2 linked regions of the Xenopus tropicalis genome follow. The protein of the gene in region 1 interacts with the protein of each later gene in a biochemical or structural test. Links are inferred from orthologs where the notes say so. Each region holds a gene or a part of one and is shown on either strand. Other genes may lie near its edges.

What was found. The genes of interacting proteins can lie anywhere in the genome.
Region 2: the proteins of nufip2 (region 1) and fmr1 form a complex in vitro, tested with the Homo sapiens proteins (2 studies listed by BioGRID and IntAct, with this or other methods). The link is inferred for Xenopus tropicalis from reciprocal best matches to the Homo sapiens genes NUFIP2 and FMR1.

The regions. Positions count from the first base shown.
Region 1 is NC_030678.2:33,011,616-33,019,054, forward strand, and holds the start of nufip2 (nuclear fragile X mental retardation-interacting protein 2), read left to right. Parts: upstream 1-2,919; 5' UTR 2,920-3,138; coding exon 3,139-3,352; intron 3,353-7,439. UniProt on the Homo sapiens protein: Binds RNA.
Region 2 is NC_030684.2:56,987,369-56,995,105, forward strand, and holds the start of fmr1 (synaptic functional regulator FMR1), read left to right. Parts: upstream 1-3,475; 5' UTR 3,476-3,683; coding exon 3,684-3,734; intron 3,735-6,618; coding exon 6,619-6,671; intron 6,672-7,431; coding exon 7,432-7,525; intron 7,526-7,737.

The sequences.
Region 1 (7,439 bases):
CTGCCTTATTAATTATGTGTTAAATATACTGTCTTTTGCTAAATACATAAATGCTCTCTCTGTTCTAGGGATGTAGCGACACCAAAAGCTCAGAAAGGTAAGAACGGGCAAGAGGGATGGCATCAGCCAGGGTCTACTCCAGGGCTACCCCCAACCCACCCCTTTCACAGCCCTTAACAGATGTCTGGTCTGACCTACTGACAGCAGCTCTATCTGTATGTTATGTTAAACTTCAGATTGTAGCTCGAGGCATTTGTCTGTCTGGTGCAAATGCTGATATTTGCATTGTGAAAATATGACGGCACAAATATCTCTTAAAGGCAAGGTTTAGCTTGAATTGTCCCAGCAGTACTGTGGTAAAGGCATTAACCAAAATCACTATCATTGCCACTAGATGTGCAGAAGAAATAAGTAGTTATCTGACTGCCAGAAGTCGTCCGTCACAAAATCAGACAGGTTATATTGGCTCACCATAAATGTGACTGTAGTGAGAGAGAGAGAGTGAGTGTGAGTGTGTGTGTGTGTGCGTGGTAGGGCATTGTACACTTCAATGGGGCAGGGGCAAGTACAGTATATGAGGAACAATATCTGTAAAGAACTGCCAAATATGTGAGTTCGGAAGGTTTAACATACTGTGTTATTTTTAATTACATTACAGTCTTAAGATTTTATGTATTTTAGAATAACAGATAATTAATAATGTTGCAATGTAATGAATAAAGCATACAGGCAAATGTGTGCACATAAAGAGCACCCTAGTGGCCAGTTAAGGAAATGCAATTCTGATTATATAAATATGGACATTGTCTCTGAACAGGCAAGCATTATGGCAGCTTAAACACACATACATAGAAACCAGAGATTAAAGTAGAAAACAAAGGTCTCTTATTAAAGAAGTAGGTTTGGTAAAACCTCCACTTCCCCCCCAGTAATTTTAGTGGATTATCTGCTACCCTCTGACTGGCGCTCACTCTTCCTTTACTGTAAATACTTACCCTAGCCCAAGTGAATGCCATCTTTTTCCATTCTTCCCATGTTGGGCAATCGTAGTACAGAATTGTCCCAAGATTTCAGTAGTATATATATTCCCCCGCCCCTGTAGAGTTTGCGCAGGGGCACCTGAGACTAAAATAAATGGTGGCGCAGTGCCAAGCAAGCAGTTTAGGTAAGGACACCAGCTCAGGGGAGCAGGCAAGTGACTAAGGCTCTAAGGACAATGCCACATGTGGCATACTCTTGCATACTGTAAAATCCTCCTACCTGGGTCTTGCGTTTTTTGGTGGATATTGATTACATGTGCCTGCACCTGAACTTATTTAAAGGGGTCAGTGTGAAAGTGCTGACGCTTTCTGGTGGAGATTGATTCTAGGATGGCGGGGCCCACTGGGTTTTTCCTGGTGTCCCGCAGGCTCAGTCCAAATCTGCCACATGCTGCATTTTTGCCCAGACAATAAAATAGAGGGTTGTGTTTGAAACTGACAAAAATGCACTTAGGCGCATAAAAAAGAAACATATACATGCAATACATGCATTTTTGTTGTGCTCTATGTACTTTTCTATGTGCATAGAAACCGCCTGTGTATACACAAGTTCTATCCTTACAGCACTGCTGCTACACAGAAAATAAAGTGAATCACTTGGGGTTCCAAGATGTTGGGTATAGGATACAGAACAATGAGGAAACTAATGAAACACTTTAATACAGCTATGTACCCCCTGTATGCCTAGTCATTCCTTTGTTGCACACAGCCTGGCTGCTCCAGCCCCTGTGGTGTTGTTCAGTACAGCTAATGTTTAATAATATCCCATTGCAATTGGTCCATGTTAGGGTAGGCTGAGCACCCCAGACTGCAAGCTCCCACTGTAGAGGCGCTGTATGAAGGTGCCGCCGCTGCCCGGGAGCAGGGAGAGCCATAGCGCTAGGGCCACACTGCCAGAGCCATAGCGCTAGGGCCACACTGCCAGAGCCACAGCCCTAGGGCCACAGTGCCCAGGACACATCGCTAGGGCCACAGCGTCAGGACCATAGCGCTAGGGCCACAGTGCCAGAGCCATAGCGTCAGGACCGTAGCGCTAGGGTCACAGTGCCAGGACCGTAGCGTTAGGGTCACAGTGCCAGGACCGCAGCGCTAGGGTCACAGTGCCAGGACCGTAGCGCTAGGGTCACAGTGCCAGGACCGTAGTGCTAGGGTCACAGTGCCAGGACCGTAGCGCTAGGGTCACAGTGCCAGGACCGTAGCGCTAGGGCCACAGTGCCAGAGCCATTGCGCCAGGACCATAGCGCTAGGGTCACAGTGCCAGGACTGTAGCGCTAGGGCCACAGTGCCAGAGCCATAGCGCTAAGGTCACAGTGTGAGGACCGTAGCGCTAGGGCCACAGTGCCAGAGCCATAGCGCTAGGGTCACAGTGCCAGGACCGTAGCGCTAAGGCCACAGTGCCAGAGCCATAGTGCCAGGACTGTAGCGCTAGGGCCACAGTGCCAGAGCCATAGCGCTAGGGCCACAGTGCCAGAGCCATAGCGCTAAGGTCACAGTGTGAGGACCGTAGCGCTAGGGCCACAGTGCCAGAGCCATAGCGCTAGGGTCACAGTGCCAGGACCATAGCGCTAGGGCCACAGTGCCAGGACTGTAGCGCTAGGGCCACAGTGCCAGAGCCATAGCGCCAGGACCATAGCGCTAGGGCCACAGTGCCAGAGCCATAGTGCCAGAGCCGTAGCGCTAGGGCCACAGTGCCAGAGTCATAGTGCCAGAGCCATAGCGCTAGGGCCACAGTGCCAGAGTCATAGTGCCAGAGCCATAGCGCTAGGGCCACAGTGCCAGAGCCATAGTGCTGACGTTGGAAGCCCAGCCCTGCCGTGAGGTTGCAGGAGACAAGTTGTGCGGCAGCAGCGGCAGGCAGGGAGGGAAGGAGGGGTGTCGGCCAGGAAGGAGGAAGGGGAGGTGGCATTGAGGGGCATGTGGGAGGCGACAAGAGGCACTTGGAGAGGCCTGATTGCTGGATAGAGACAGTCAATCGTTTCTAGAAAGTCCCTAAGCCAACCGGCTTGCCCTAGTGCGGGAGGCAGCGCATCTGCACACTCACATCCACCGAGGGGCTCTGTGCTCTGCATCCAGCGCAGGGGGAGCCCACTCACTTTCAATGGAGGAGCAGCCTGGCCAACAGCAGCAGCACCACTACCACCATCACCATCCTCACCACCTCCACTCTCCGTCTTCTCACAGCCATTACTACTATTACACAAACAGCCAGCAGCATGGAGCCGAAGGCAGCAGCGCCAAATGCCAGCCCAAGCCGCTGAAACATGAGCAGAAACACGCCCTACAGCACCAGGAAACGCACCAGAAGAAAACAGGTCGGCATCTGACCCGGGGGTGGGGGCAGCCATGGGGCAAAGGGTAGTGTTGGTAAGGGGCAGTAAAGGGCACATTTGCCGGATGTATGGGGGGTGCCCAGTATACCGGGGGGCAGCAGAGCTGAATGGTTAGGTGGGGCTTGCACCCTAGCCGGCTGATGGCACAATCACAGCGTCGCCCGGGGGGCCGCCGGGAATACAGTGATTTAGCTGGGGGTTGGTATGGAGCCATCGTGTCTGGTTGTGTAAGGGGGACCCGGGAGGGGACACAGGGGAGCGGGCAGGGACTGGGCTCCCGGTATCTCAGGGCCCCTGGGGGAGAAGGTGCTTGTGTAACAGTTGGCTGTTGTTACTCTGTATATTAGGAATGTATCCCCTGCAGTCCCTTGGGAGTTGTAGTTCAGCAGCAGCTGGAGGGTGGCGGGCTGCATGGCAGCAGTGCCCAGGGCCCACGGATTCCTAACTCCGGCTGTTCCCATTGATCAGCTGACTGGGCAGCACAATGTGCTAAGGGCCCTGGGGCCGCTACCCAGCAGCTAGAGGGCGCCCTGCATGGGGCAACAGTAGCAGCGATTCCTACGCTTATTCCTATTATAAATGCTTCTGTGCCCTGGGGTTGTGGGTACCCGGCATTCGCTGCCAGTGGGAAGCCCGAGTGCTACGGGTAATGCTTCCCGGCATGGCTGCTTCCAGTTCCCCCTTATTGGCAAAACTCGGGGCCGGCCGAGCCCGGGGAATCCAGGCTGGAGGCCCACTGCCTTGACCTTGCTAGTAAGCCTGCCGGCTCCATGTTGTGCCCCCAGCCGCTGCGGACATGTGACTTCCCGGCAGGGTTGGCCCGTTACACCACCGCTTCCCTCCCCCGCCTTTCATTTATGTTTCCCGTTGTCTCTACTCCGCCACGTTCATTCCCCTCCCATTCCAGCCAGTCAGCTGCTCGGTGCGGCCTGGTACAGCCCTAGAGCCGGGAGCTCGCCTGAGGCAGCGGCACAGGAGGCTTCTAGAAGGCGCTGGAAGGGCTCGGCTGACGTGTGTGTGTCTGATATAGAGACTTACAATAAAGGATACAGGCTCCCGGCTGTGGCATTGGCTCTAATACACCGGGCGTTATAGCGCTGTTGGCTGGTGTTCCTAGGGGGCTACTAGCCACCGCCTCTAATAAGGGGTGATTGGCGAATTTATAGAATATAATGTACAGAGAGAGACAATTTACACTGGGGCCCATCAAGGGGAAGTATATAACACTTTGTACATATTTTACTATACATATCAGGGATGCCCAGTGGGGGTAATACAACTGAAAACCATAGCATTTTTCCTAAAATGGTGGCTAACCAACCTTCTGCCCTCTCTAACTCTAGTTCAGCAATATATTCAGAGTCACATTTCTTAAGCTTTCTTACTGTTTCCCTCAGACTGGGGCCTGAGCCCTGAGCCCTGGCCAACCCATGGCCACTAGATGTTATTGTTGGACTTTACATGCCAGATTCCCCCTGGAAGGTAAAGGCTGCAGGGGTCATTTTGGGAGTTGTAGTTCATTTACATCTGAAGGCCAATAGGGTTTCTAACTCAAGCTCTAAGCACTTGTTTTTGGAGGTTCTAGGAGTTGTTCCATATCAACTGTGGTACAAGCTACATTTTTTACCTGTAGGCAAGTTGGGTAGAGGTTTCTATATCTGTAATCTTGTTATTGGCATAGGGCCCCTGACCAAATTTTGGTCCACATATTTAAATTTAACCTGTTTGATTTCCTACCAGGGATTTACAGTAGGAGAGTTCTCTCAACTGTGACCCACCATCAGGGCCTTTCCTGGCTCCTGTTGTTTCTTCTGTGATAGGGTGTCCATACACATGCCATTTGGCCCCTAGGCAGATACTGTATGAGTGGCCATAAACACAACAACCACCACCGATTAGAAAGAGGTGCTGTTTTGGCTAACATTGTACGTTAGGAGATACGTTTCATACAATTCTGATTGACAGGCTGAATTGTATCCATTATAAAAAGATCTTAGTTGCCATTGTCTGGCCAACATTCATGCACCAATATTGTTTTGAAACAATTTATCAGTACCTGCAAGGACAGCCTTAGAGGGTATCAGTTGTAATATCCTAGCAGTGCAGCAGCCGTATAGTGATTGGTTGATTTCAGAGCAAGTGGTGACCCATGTGTGCTATGTAGGTGCAAGCCGAGCAGGTAATCTAATAAAAGGCACAAAGTCAGTGGTCTATTAATCCATAACAACCACCCAACAGGTAACATTTATTGGTCAGCTATTTGAAAGATTCATATGGTTGCTATGGGTTACTAGACCTGGGCAAATGTTGCACCATTAATCACATTAACTCTAAGTTGTTTAAATACCAAACACTGATTGCGGCATGAATAATTTAAAGGGGATTTACTGCTAAAAATAAATCTTAAGTTTGTTGTGGAGCAGGAAAAAGCACTCTACCTTTTGCAGAATTCACATCTCTCTGCACCACAGGTATGGGTTGCACTGGAAGCTGTCGTTTTGCGACCAGTAACCCTAGCAACCAGGTACAGAGAGAGGAAGGATAGAGCAGGACTATCCTAATTGCAAGGTTACTTACATTCTCACTTTGTAGAACCACACTGTGTTGCTGGCAGCAAGTTGGCCAGATGTGACCCTGAGGGTCCCTTGTTCAGCCTCCAAACTACCCTTGGTCACCATAGCCTTCTTTTTTAAGTCGTTACCAATTTGATGCCAATATTTTGTTTATTATCAGCCACTCCTTTTAAGGACAGTTTAGGCAGAAGTGGCCTACAACACATTAACATTTGTATTAACATTATTATCTTTTAAATTTCTCCTTTAAGTGCTTGTGGTTCCCAACAGCTGTAGGACTGCTGACATTTGGCAAGGCTCACTTTCATGTAGCCTACATGTTGGATTAATTTAAATTAAACATTTATATAAAATATTTACCTTTCAAGTTTTTTTAATGGGAGCCCTAGAACCATCAGTTAATAGAAATGAGTTCAGGCCTGTTCTGTTCATTATGTGGCCAGTTGGCTAAATGGATGGATTCTGTATGAGGCTTAATACCAAGTATGTCCACCTCTCTATTGTTCTGTTCATTTGGGAAGACAGCATACAGTGGATGTAAAAAGTCTACACACCCCTGGTAAAATGTCAGGTTCCTGTGCTGTACAAAAATTAGACAAAGATAAATCATTTCAGAACTTTTTCCATCTTTAATGTGACCTATAAACTGTACCACTCAATTGAAAAACAAACTGAAATCTTTTAGGTGGAGGAAAGAAAACCAAAAAAACTAAAATAATGTGGTTGCATAATTGTGCACACCCTTAAACTAATACTTTGTTGAAGCACCATTTTGTTATAGCACTCAGTCTTTTTGGGTATGAGTCTATCATGTATGGAAAATTTATAATACAAATTATGTTATGTGTATGGGTAGCTTTAGGCCTGGTGATCTGGGGGCATGCCTTATGTAGGATAAAAGTGCTGCTTATTACTCTCCAGATCCCAGGACGTCCATGTACTCAATGAAAGTACTGTCTGGGGAGGGGCTAAATCCCAATAAGGTCAAAAGCTGGGTATCCAACCAAGAAAGCAGTCCGAGTAGCCTCCCCTTATACAAACAGTCTATACAACCCCCTTCTTGTTTCTGGCTTCTTTCTGCTCATCCTTCTATTTTCTCTATGTGCACACAAGTCATTAGTTCTTCTGTGCCCTGGCTGTAGGGATTGCCACCCCTGCTACCATTGATGAGAGGGCATTTCTAGCAAAGGACCAGAACCTTCTACATGACGACCTTCCCTATGCCAGGTATACGGTCGTGCTTCTACGAAGGTAGCAGGAGTTACCATTCGTAAACATATTTTCCATGGTTTGACAATGCTGTTCATGTGTTCATTAGGGTGACATAACATTTATGTTGAAAAGTTGCACCTTCTTTGTCCACCTAGAATCAGACTAAAAGTGGCCGCACACAGGCACATTTTAGCTGCCAATATCTGTCCTTTAGATCGATTCGGCAGCTTATCTGCCTGTGTAAAGGCACTAACGATGGGCCTGCCCGACTGACATCAAAGGAC
Region 2 (7,737 bases), on another chromosome or scaffold:
GCCCTTAAGCATTGCTATTGAAAGAAATTCAGGATAAAATGCCAAAGCATACAAAAACACCTTGGGGCACATTTATCAAAGTGCAAATTTTCGCCAATTTAAAGCACGATTGGAAAAAATTCGGACTAACCATGATAATTTCTGATGTGTGTTAATTACGCAAAAATTCACACCGTGGTCCTACAAAAATATTGTGGTATGATCTGAAATTTTCGGATCCAAACGATCATAAACGGCGCAAAAAACTTTCTGACTTTGATCCTTCTGTGCATGTTTTTGGAAGCCTCACATAGGACTCAATGGCACTCTGCAGCTCCAAACTGGCCCAAGGAAAATCACGAAAAAGAAGCATTAATGAATCCGAAACTTTCGTACTCGTTACAACAAATACGATTTTGTAGCACAAATTGTCGCAAAGTACAAAAAAGTTGCGCAAATTAACGAAAACATCGTAGAAAATACGCAAAAACGTATTGGGGCCTGCCGTACTTTAATGAATGTGCCCCCTTATTTACTAAACTGGAGTGAAATTTCAGTTAATTTGATTGTATTCAATTTATGACAGTTTGACTCCATTCGCTTCAGTTTTACTCTTTTCATCTCAGCGATGCAGTCAACTTTGCAGAAGGTGGCGTAACAAAATATTAGTGTGTGGCCCTGACTATGGCATTTTTCAGCCTAGTACTGGTGATGTAGCAAATCCCGTTTCCGATGGTGCTAATAGTGCGAAATAGTAAAAAACGCAGTGTATTTCCGCTAGGTCTGGCATCTGCCTTTGTGTATACATAGGAATAGGTTGCTGTGCAAATAACAGCATATTTCGGCAAACGCTTGAAAAATCCGTGGTAAGGCGTTTTCTAGCGTATTTACGCATTGTGTGGTTTCCTTCAAGTCTTTTCAAGTTATTTCTATGGATGATGATATCATGCGTTTTTCAGCTGCCGAGAGAATTAGAAAATACGCAGCGTAAAAACGCCACGTGTGGCATCAGCCTAACAGGTCAGCTGCTGGTTAGCTTCTGCCCATCTGCTCTGCCTTTACCATCATTTGAACCTGGAATTTATTGATTACAGCTGTTTTGTGAGTATTGATAACCTTGCCTTGTATCATTGTATTGGACAAATCAAACTGTTCTTCAGTTTCATTGCAAATAGCTTCTGGAGTCCTTATTATTACTTTTACCTTTATTATAGCTGGCAGTGGGAGGTGTAGTCGACAACACCACCCATATACTGTATATACTCGAGTATAAGCCTAGTTTTTCAGCACCCAAAATGTGCTGAAAAAGTCACCATCGGCTTGAGTCGGGTGCCATGGGTCCCTCCAGACTAGCACCCTCTGTCCTTTGTGTGCAAATTAGGCCACCTGCAACCAGACCCTCCAGTGCCCTGGCCCACTCCCAGTCACAATACTTATTGCCCCTTACGTGTCCTCCGGGACTGGGTCTGTTGCCAGTTTGCCAATGCGCTATGAGCATGGGGTAGTACTCATATTGTTTTTGTTGACCCTCTTCTCTACTTACAAAGCTAGTTTACGGTTTTTCTTTTAAATAAATATTTAAAACATATACCCCACTGATGCCTCAATTTATGTAATTTACTGGTTTTTATCTTGATTATTGAAACTTAGCAGTAGCTGCTGCATTTCCCACCCTAGGCTTATACTCGAGTTAATAAGTTTTTCCAGTTTTCTTAGGTAAAATTAGGTACTTCGGCTTATATTCGGATCGGCTTATACTCGAGTATATATGGTATAGTCTTCCACATAGCAAAGGCCCTTCCAAAGAAAAAGAATCCAATGTACCCCATGCTTTAATCCCTCCCAGCTGGACTTGTCTGCAGGGGTTACACAAAGGAAATAGATCAGAGACTCATTAGAGAAAAGTATTTTTATTTCCTGGTTCTCCTGAGAAATTGTGGGAGAAGCAGAAGGCAGTTATTCAACTAACCATTCCTATTTAAACTGTCTATGTAATGAACTCCTACTTCTCTGTAAGCTTGAGACATAAAGGGGCGTATTTATTAACACCGGAGACAAACATGACCAGTGATGTTGCCCATAGCTACTAATCAGATCTTTGCTTGTTTTCATATTTGTAGGTGACCATTTAAATCTAATTGCTGATTAGCTGCTATGGGCAGCATCACCAGTGATATTTTCCTCCAGTGTTAATAAATACATTCCAAACTGCAGTTTGGGAAAAGGAGCAGAGAGTTTATACAGAACCTACTATCTCTATTTTACTGAATTGTAGGGGAGGGATGGGGAGGTAAAAAGTGAAAAAATAAAGCAACAATAATTTCAAAAATTATCATTTTAAAAGGTGTAAATTAACCCTCTAAGTGCCACTAACTCTAAAGATGTCCCTGTAAAGCCCAATTAATATATATATATATATATGTTTAACATATAGATTTACATTTTCATTCTTTCAGCAACCACATATTTGTATATTCCCACAATAGCCACTGTTCTATATTAAAGCCCTTGTGCTTGTCTTCTCCACATTCCCTCAGATGTTGTAAAGCCCAATTAGTATATATCTTTTCTTCTCTTTATGTTCTGGTCCCTTCCATGAGGCCTATAATATCCCTGCTATACTAAACTTTATTCAAAAGTTTGACAATGTCATGTTTTAATGCTGTTAGATAATCCATTCTGCATGTGTATTTTATTCTCTCCAACAATGCACCACGCCAAAGTTAACAATGACATTAGAAATATAGAGAGAGATAGGAAGTCCAACCTTAGCCTGGCATTTTAACTACTGAGTTGTTGCCAGGCACTTGCATGGGCAAAAAGGCCGCTGCTAAGGGCACAACTGGAACAGGCCCACCATCAGGCATTTATTTTGTTTAACCTTGACTGAAGCATGCACCAGCAATGGCAAATCCCTCATCAACTTGTTTTTCTACTTATTTAAATACTTTATTTTCTATTTCATCACATTACTCAGGGATCTTTCTAACGAAAAAGCGGATATATTTAATAAAGGCAGTTTTTTTCTTGTGGTGTCCACTATTTTGTAATTATTATTTTCTGCAGCCCCTTGTTGTTTTGCATCATTCTGTCTTTTGAATAGAGTAAACGTGCTCTAACGAGTGTTTCGCCAGGTTTCCCGATCACATTACTAACAGGGGCAGAAACAGCGGGGAGACCCCCATGGTCCCCCTCCCTCGCGTTTCATTCCCGCCGCCAGACGCGCTCTTCAGCCACACCTCTGTCTGCTCTCTGAGCACCATGACAACCGTACCAGATCCCGCCCTACGTGTGCCGCCGTCACAATCTGGCACAGCCATAAATAAATATATAACACTGCCTTCAGTTTGATTGGTTCGTCTAAATGTCCGTCGGCGGGTTAGTGAGTGAGGAGGGAAGGAAGCCGGCGGGTTAGGTTGCACCGACAGGTTAGGTTGCAGCAGCAGTGCCTGTGCGAATGGGCGGGCTCTAAGCCGCGGCCTGCTGTCACGTGACACGGTTTTAATGTTTACATTCGAGGCGGTGTTGGGGATTCCTTGCCGGACGGGGTCCCGTTTCGCTTTCATTTCCCGAGAGCAGGAGCAGCGGTGGCGGGCGGCGGGCCTAATGCTGGCTTTGGCACACTGACAGAAACGAGGCCTGGGCGGGGGGTGGGAGACCCGCCTTATCTGCCGCCCGTAACCAAGGCATCGCGCGGACCCAACATGGAGGAGCTGGCCGTGGAGGTGCGGGGCTCCAATGGAGCCTTCTACAAGGTGAGGCCGGCTGCTTTCCGGAAACTCCGCCTTTTTTGACCTGTAATAATCCTCCTGGAATCCTAAGGTCTCTCATAGCCAAGCCAAGGCCGGAGCGGGATGTGTGTAGGCCTGTGCATCACGATAATGACTTGCAAACTCCCCCCTCCATCCATCCATTCATAGGTCTGTCCCCTCAGTCTAACAGCATCAGCACCAGCTTCCGCCCCAGCCTACCCTTCCTTACAAGTCTGCCTGCTCGGGTTTGCATCCTCCTTGGGAGACACTCGCTGCAAACTTGGCCGCACTCTTTCCAGCTCTGATAGTGGGGAGGGAGATCCCCGCCTATAACAGGACAGGGAGATCCCCGGGGCGAACTCCGCTAAGCACTGCCTGTTGGACAGATCTGTTCTGTGGTGGGGAAGGAGATCTCTGGTGCAAGCCTGTCACACTATGGCTTCCTCTGTGAAACATGCGGAGGTTCATCTAGGTGCAGAATGATGAAGATTTAGGGAGTCTTAGCCTCCACGGTGTCAAAGTTTATATATACATATATCATCCTTATTTCTCAATGGAACCCTTCTAGTGGTAGAACCCCCAATGAAAAATGTCATCCTCCTCTCCTGTAGGTTAAACATCAAGTACCAGGCTGTATGGACAAGCCTCCTATGTGACAAGGTTATCCTGTTTAACTACTGCAGGAGAAAAGCTTAGTCTTTTTAATACATATCCTTTATTAAAGGCCTTTTTACCAACTGTAGAACATTACAAGATTGAAAGGGTGATGCATTGGTGTATAACATTGCACCTTTTTTCAGCAAAAGCCCTTGTGCAATGTGCAAGGAACTTGTCCAGCTACGTATGTGGTAACCCTGTTCTGTAAAACTGCCATTTCTGGCAGGTATAAAGTACAACAAGATGAAATAGATTAAGTGTGCCACACAGCAGGTTTACATACACGGCAACATGCTACCTAAAGCAACTTAATGCCATCAATAGCCGAAATTCAGGAGCACTCCAAAATCAGATGCATAATATCGCAAACTGTGTTCATTGCCACAGATAATGTGTCCTACTGTTCTAAGCCCCTTCCCAAGTTCGGCTGGGTTTAGTCCAAAATGTTACCTGTGGCACTGAATACAGTTTTCCCTATGATGGCATCTGAACTTGAAATGCTGCTGAAGCTGGGTTATTCCTACATTTGCCAAAGATGGTTCTAGCTGTGTGCATTGCAAATTTCAGGGGAAGGCCCTAGCTGTGTAGCACTGCATGGCACTAATGGCACTAATATATTCTGGCCCTGTAGCAGTATAGACTTGTCAAGTGCAGAACTGTATTATGCTTGATGCGGATCTCCTTTGCTATATGTCATGACAAGCTTGGCCACAAAATAATCTGTTTAGTGCAAAAATAAAAAAAATCATACATATTTTAGAATTAAAGCAATAGACAAATTACAGCCCCTATTCATTGAACCCCTTCAAATGAATACCCACTAGTATGTAGTTATAGAAGCACCTGAGGAGTAGAAGCCCTGGCAAGTTGATAACCCCCCAGTGGAGGTGTAGGCTAATAGGGCCCTGCACTCTGGTCGGTACTCATTTATGTGAATGAAAGTGACATCACACACGCATATTGAGTGAGCCGGGAGACTCGCTTTTGAGAATGCATGTCCCCAAACATGACTGTCCATAATGGGAGCTCCCTGCCAGTGCAGGTGGCATATCACTCGCTATAAGTCTCAAATAACACTTCAAATGGGGGAAATAATTTTCCTATGATAGGCCCTTTATGCTCTATGCAGGCTTTTGTGGTTTCTGTGTAGCTGTGCATCACTCATCTAGGTTAATAGTTTACCCATGCAGCGTGTGGGTTTTATGTTTACTTTTGCAGTTCTTTCTTTTACACCTTATATAAACCCTGTACTTGACAGACAGTCAGGGCAGACATACTGCACCAGAGGAAGGACCCCAGCGGTCCGAAACATGTAGTGCTATGCATCTCTGAACTAATAAACAACACAGAACGCATTTGGCTCTCCAGTGGATTTTTTTATTTCTACATGGTACCAATTTGTAGACCTGGCGAAACCTACACCATTGTGATTGAGCCTCCTCACTGAATTTCACATTTTGTGGCACACCAACTGTATTTTCCTTTTTGTCACAGACATATTCTTCACCTTTTGCATACAAATATTACTGCCTTATATATTGGTCTGCAGATGCATTGCTCTCATCTAACAGGAACCAAACACTGTTCAATATGATCGATCATTGTAGCTGTTTGCACCCACTCACATTGCTTATATGCATGGCGAGGCAATGATTAGCTCTCCAAATTGAAATCCATTCAAAGTCAAACACATATAGACAATTATAGTGGTCTATGTTATGTTGACTGTATTAGTCTCAGTGCAGTGCCTAAGGTCCCCTGTGGTCTTGTTGTTCACCTGATAATATGCAGACATATTGATGTAATGTCAGATACCAGCATAGGATTTTATTACCTAAATCTTTATTGCTGCAGGTCAGAAACAGACAGAGTTTAAAGCCTATGAGTAGTATGAGTTGTTAACATTGCTATCAAGGCAAGGTGCACACATTTTAAAAATAAAATCAAAAAGTCAGTGTCACAAAAAGGATTTGGATCTCAGTACACATTCAGTTTAAAAGGGGAGTCCACCTCTGAATAAATTTCGGTATATTGCAGATAGAGGTAATCAAAATTGCAATTAGTAAATTGTAGTGTAAATGCCATAATGGAAAACTGCAGAACAAAATAAAATCCTAATCAACAAATTGCAAATTGTGTTAAGTTGTAAAGTCATTTTCAAATGTAACTGTGCATATAAAGTCTCTATACTTAATATGTTAATGTATGACTTTCTTTTCGTCTCTCATAGGCATTTGTGAAGGATGTACATGAGGATTCTATAACTGTCACTTTTGAAAACAAGTAAGTACCTGCAGCTAGTGTGGAAGTGAGTGGAACTGCATGATAAATCAGAGCTTGTGGTCAGCATCAGTCAACCTCTTATTATTTTAGGCTCAAATTGGGAAGTGATACACTATTAAAGAAACCTGCAGTCTCTACTGTATTTTTATTTGTGTACAATGGAAATTAATATATATTTTTTTTTTCACCTGAAAGATAAGTGTATAAAAAGCTGATTTTTAAAGGGAAAGTCAAGCCTCTTCTAAGCCCCCTCACTCTTACCTTCAGTGAAAAGTTTCCCCAACCGCAACCACTATGCATACTTTGTTTGATACATTATACATTTTATAGATCTTGACTATAAAGCTTTTTCTGGAGTCCTCTTCCTGGCTGCCATATTGATGTGAGAATTTTCTTGCCATGATGCTACTTGAGCATGTGTAAGGATATGAAAATGTTCCCTGCATGTTGTGCTGAGCTGCTAATATGCAGGGAATTGGACAGACACTGAGCAGGTAATGGGCATCAAAAAAGTCTGTTTGTACTGAGCTTTTGCCTATTTCCTACCATGGCTCCATAATTGGAGGGGAGGGACAGTTAAACTAGAAAAAAATATGCTTTTAAAGTTGTGTGACATTCCTTTTACCTGTTAGCTTTATGTCAGTGTTGTATTACTGCTGTAATCAGCTAAATACAAAATAGGTCAGTTGTTAAGTATTTGCAGGTAGCATTTGTTATGAACTGCTTTATACTGCTGTATGATAAATTAATGTTTTTACAGCTGGCAGCAAGAGAGACAAATCCCATTCCATGATGTAAGATTTCCACCTCCATCAGGGTATAATAAGGATATAAATGAAAGTGATGAGGTAGAGGTAAGTAAACCAATATTAAGGTAGAGGTAATAAACATTTAGCATCTAATTTCCGATTTCTCATTAAAAGAGCCAACACCTACATCAGTGGATGGTGAATGGTGACACTGGTTTCATGGTAGTTTGTAAAATGTTTTTTGCTTAGTAACTAGTTTCACCACAAGTGAAATATGCCCTATATAACAGCCTAGATTTTGCTTGAAAAAAGTAAAT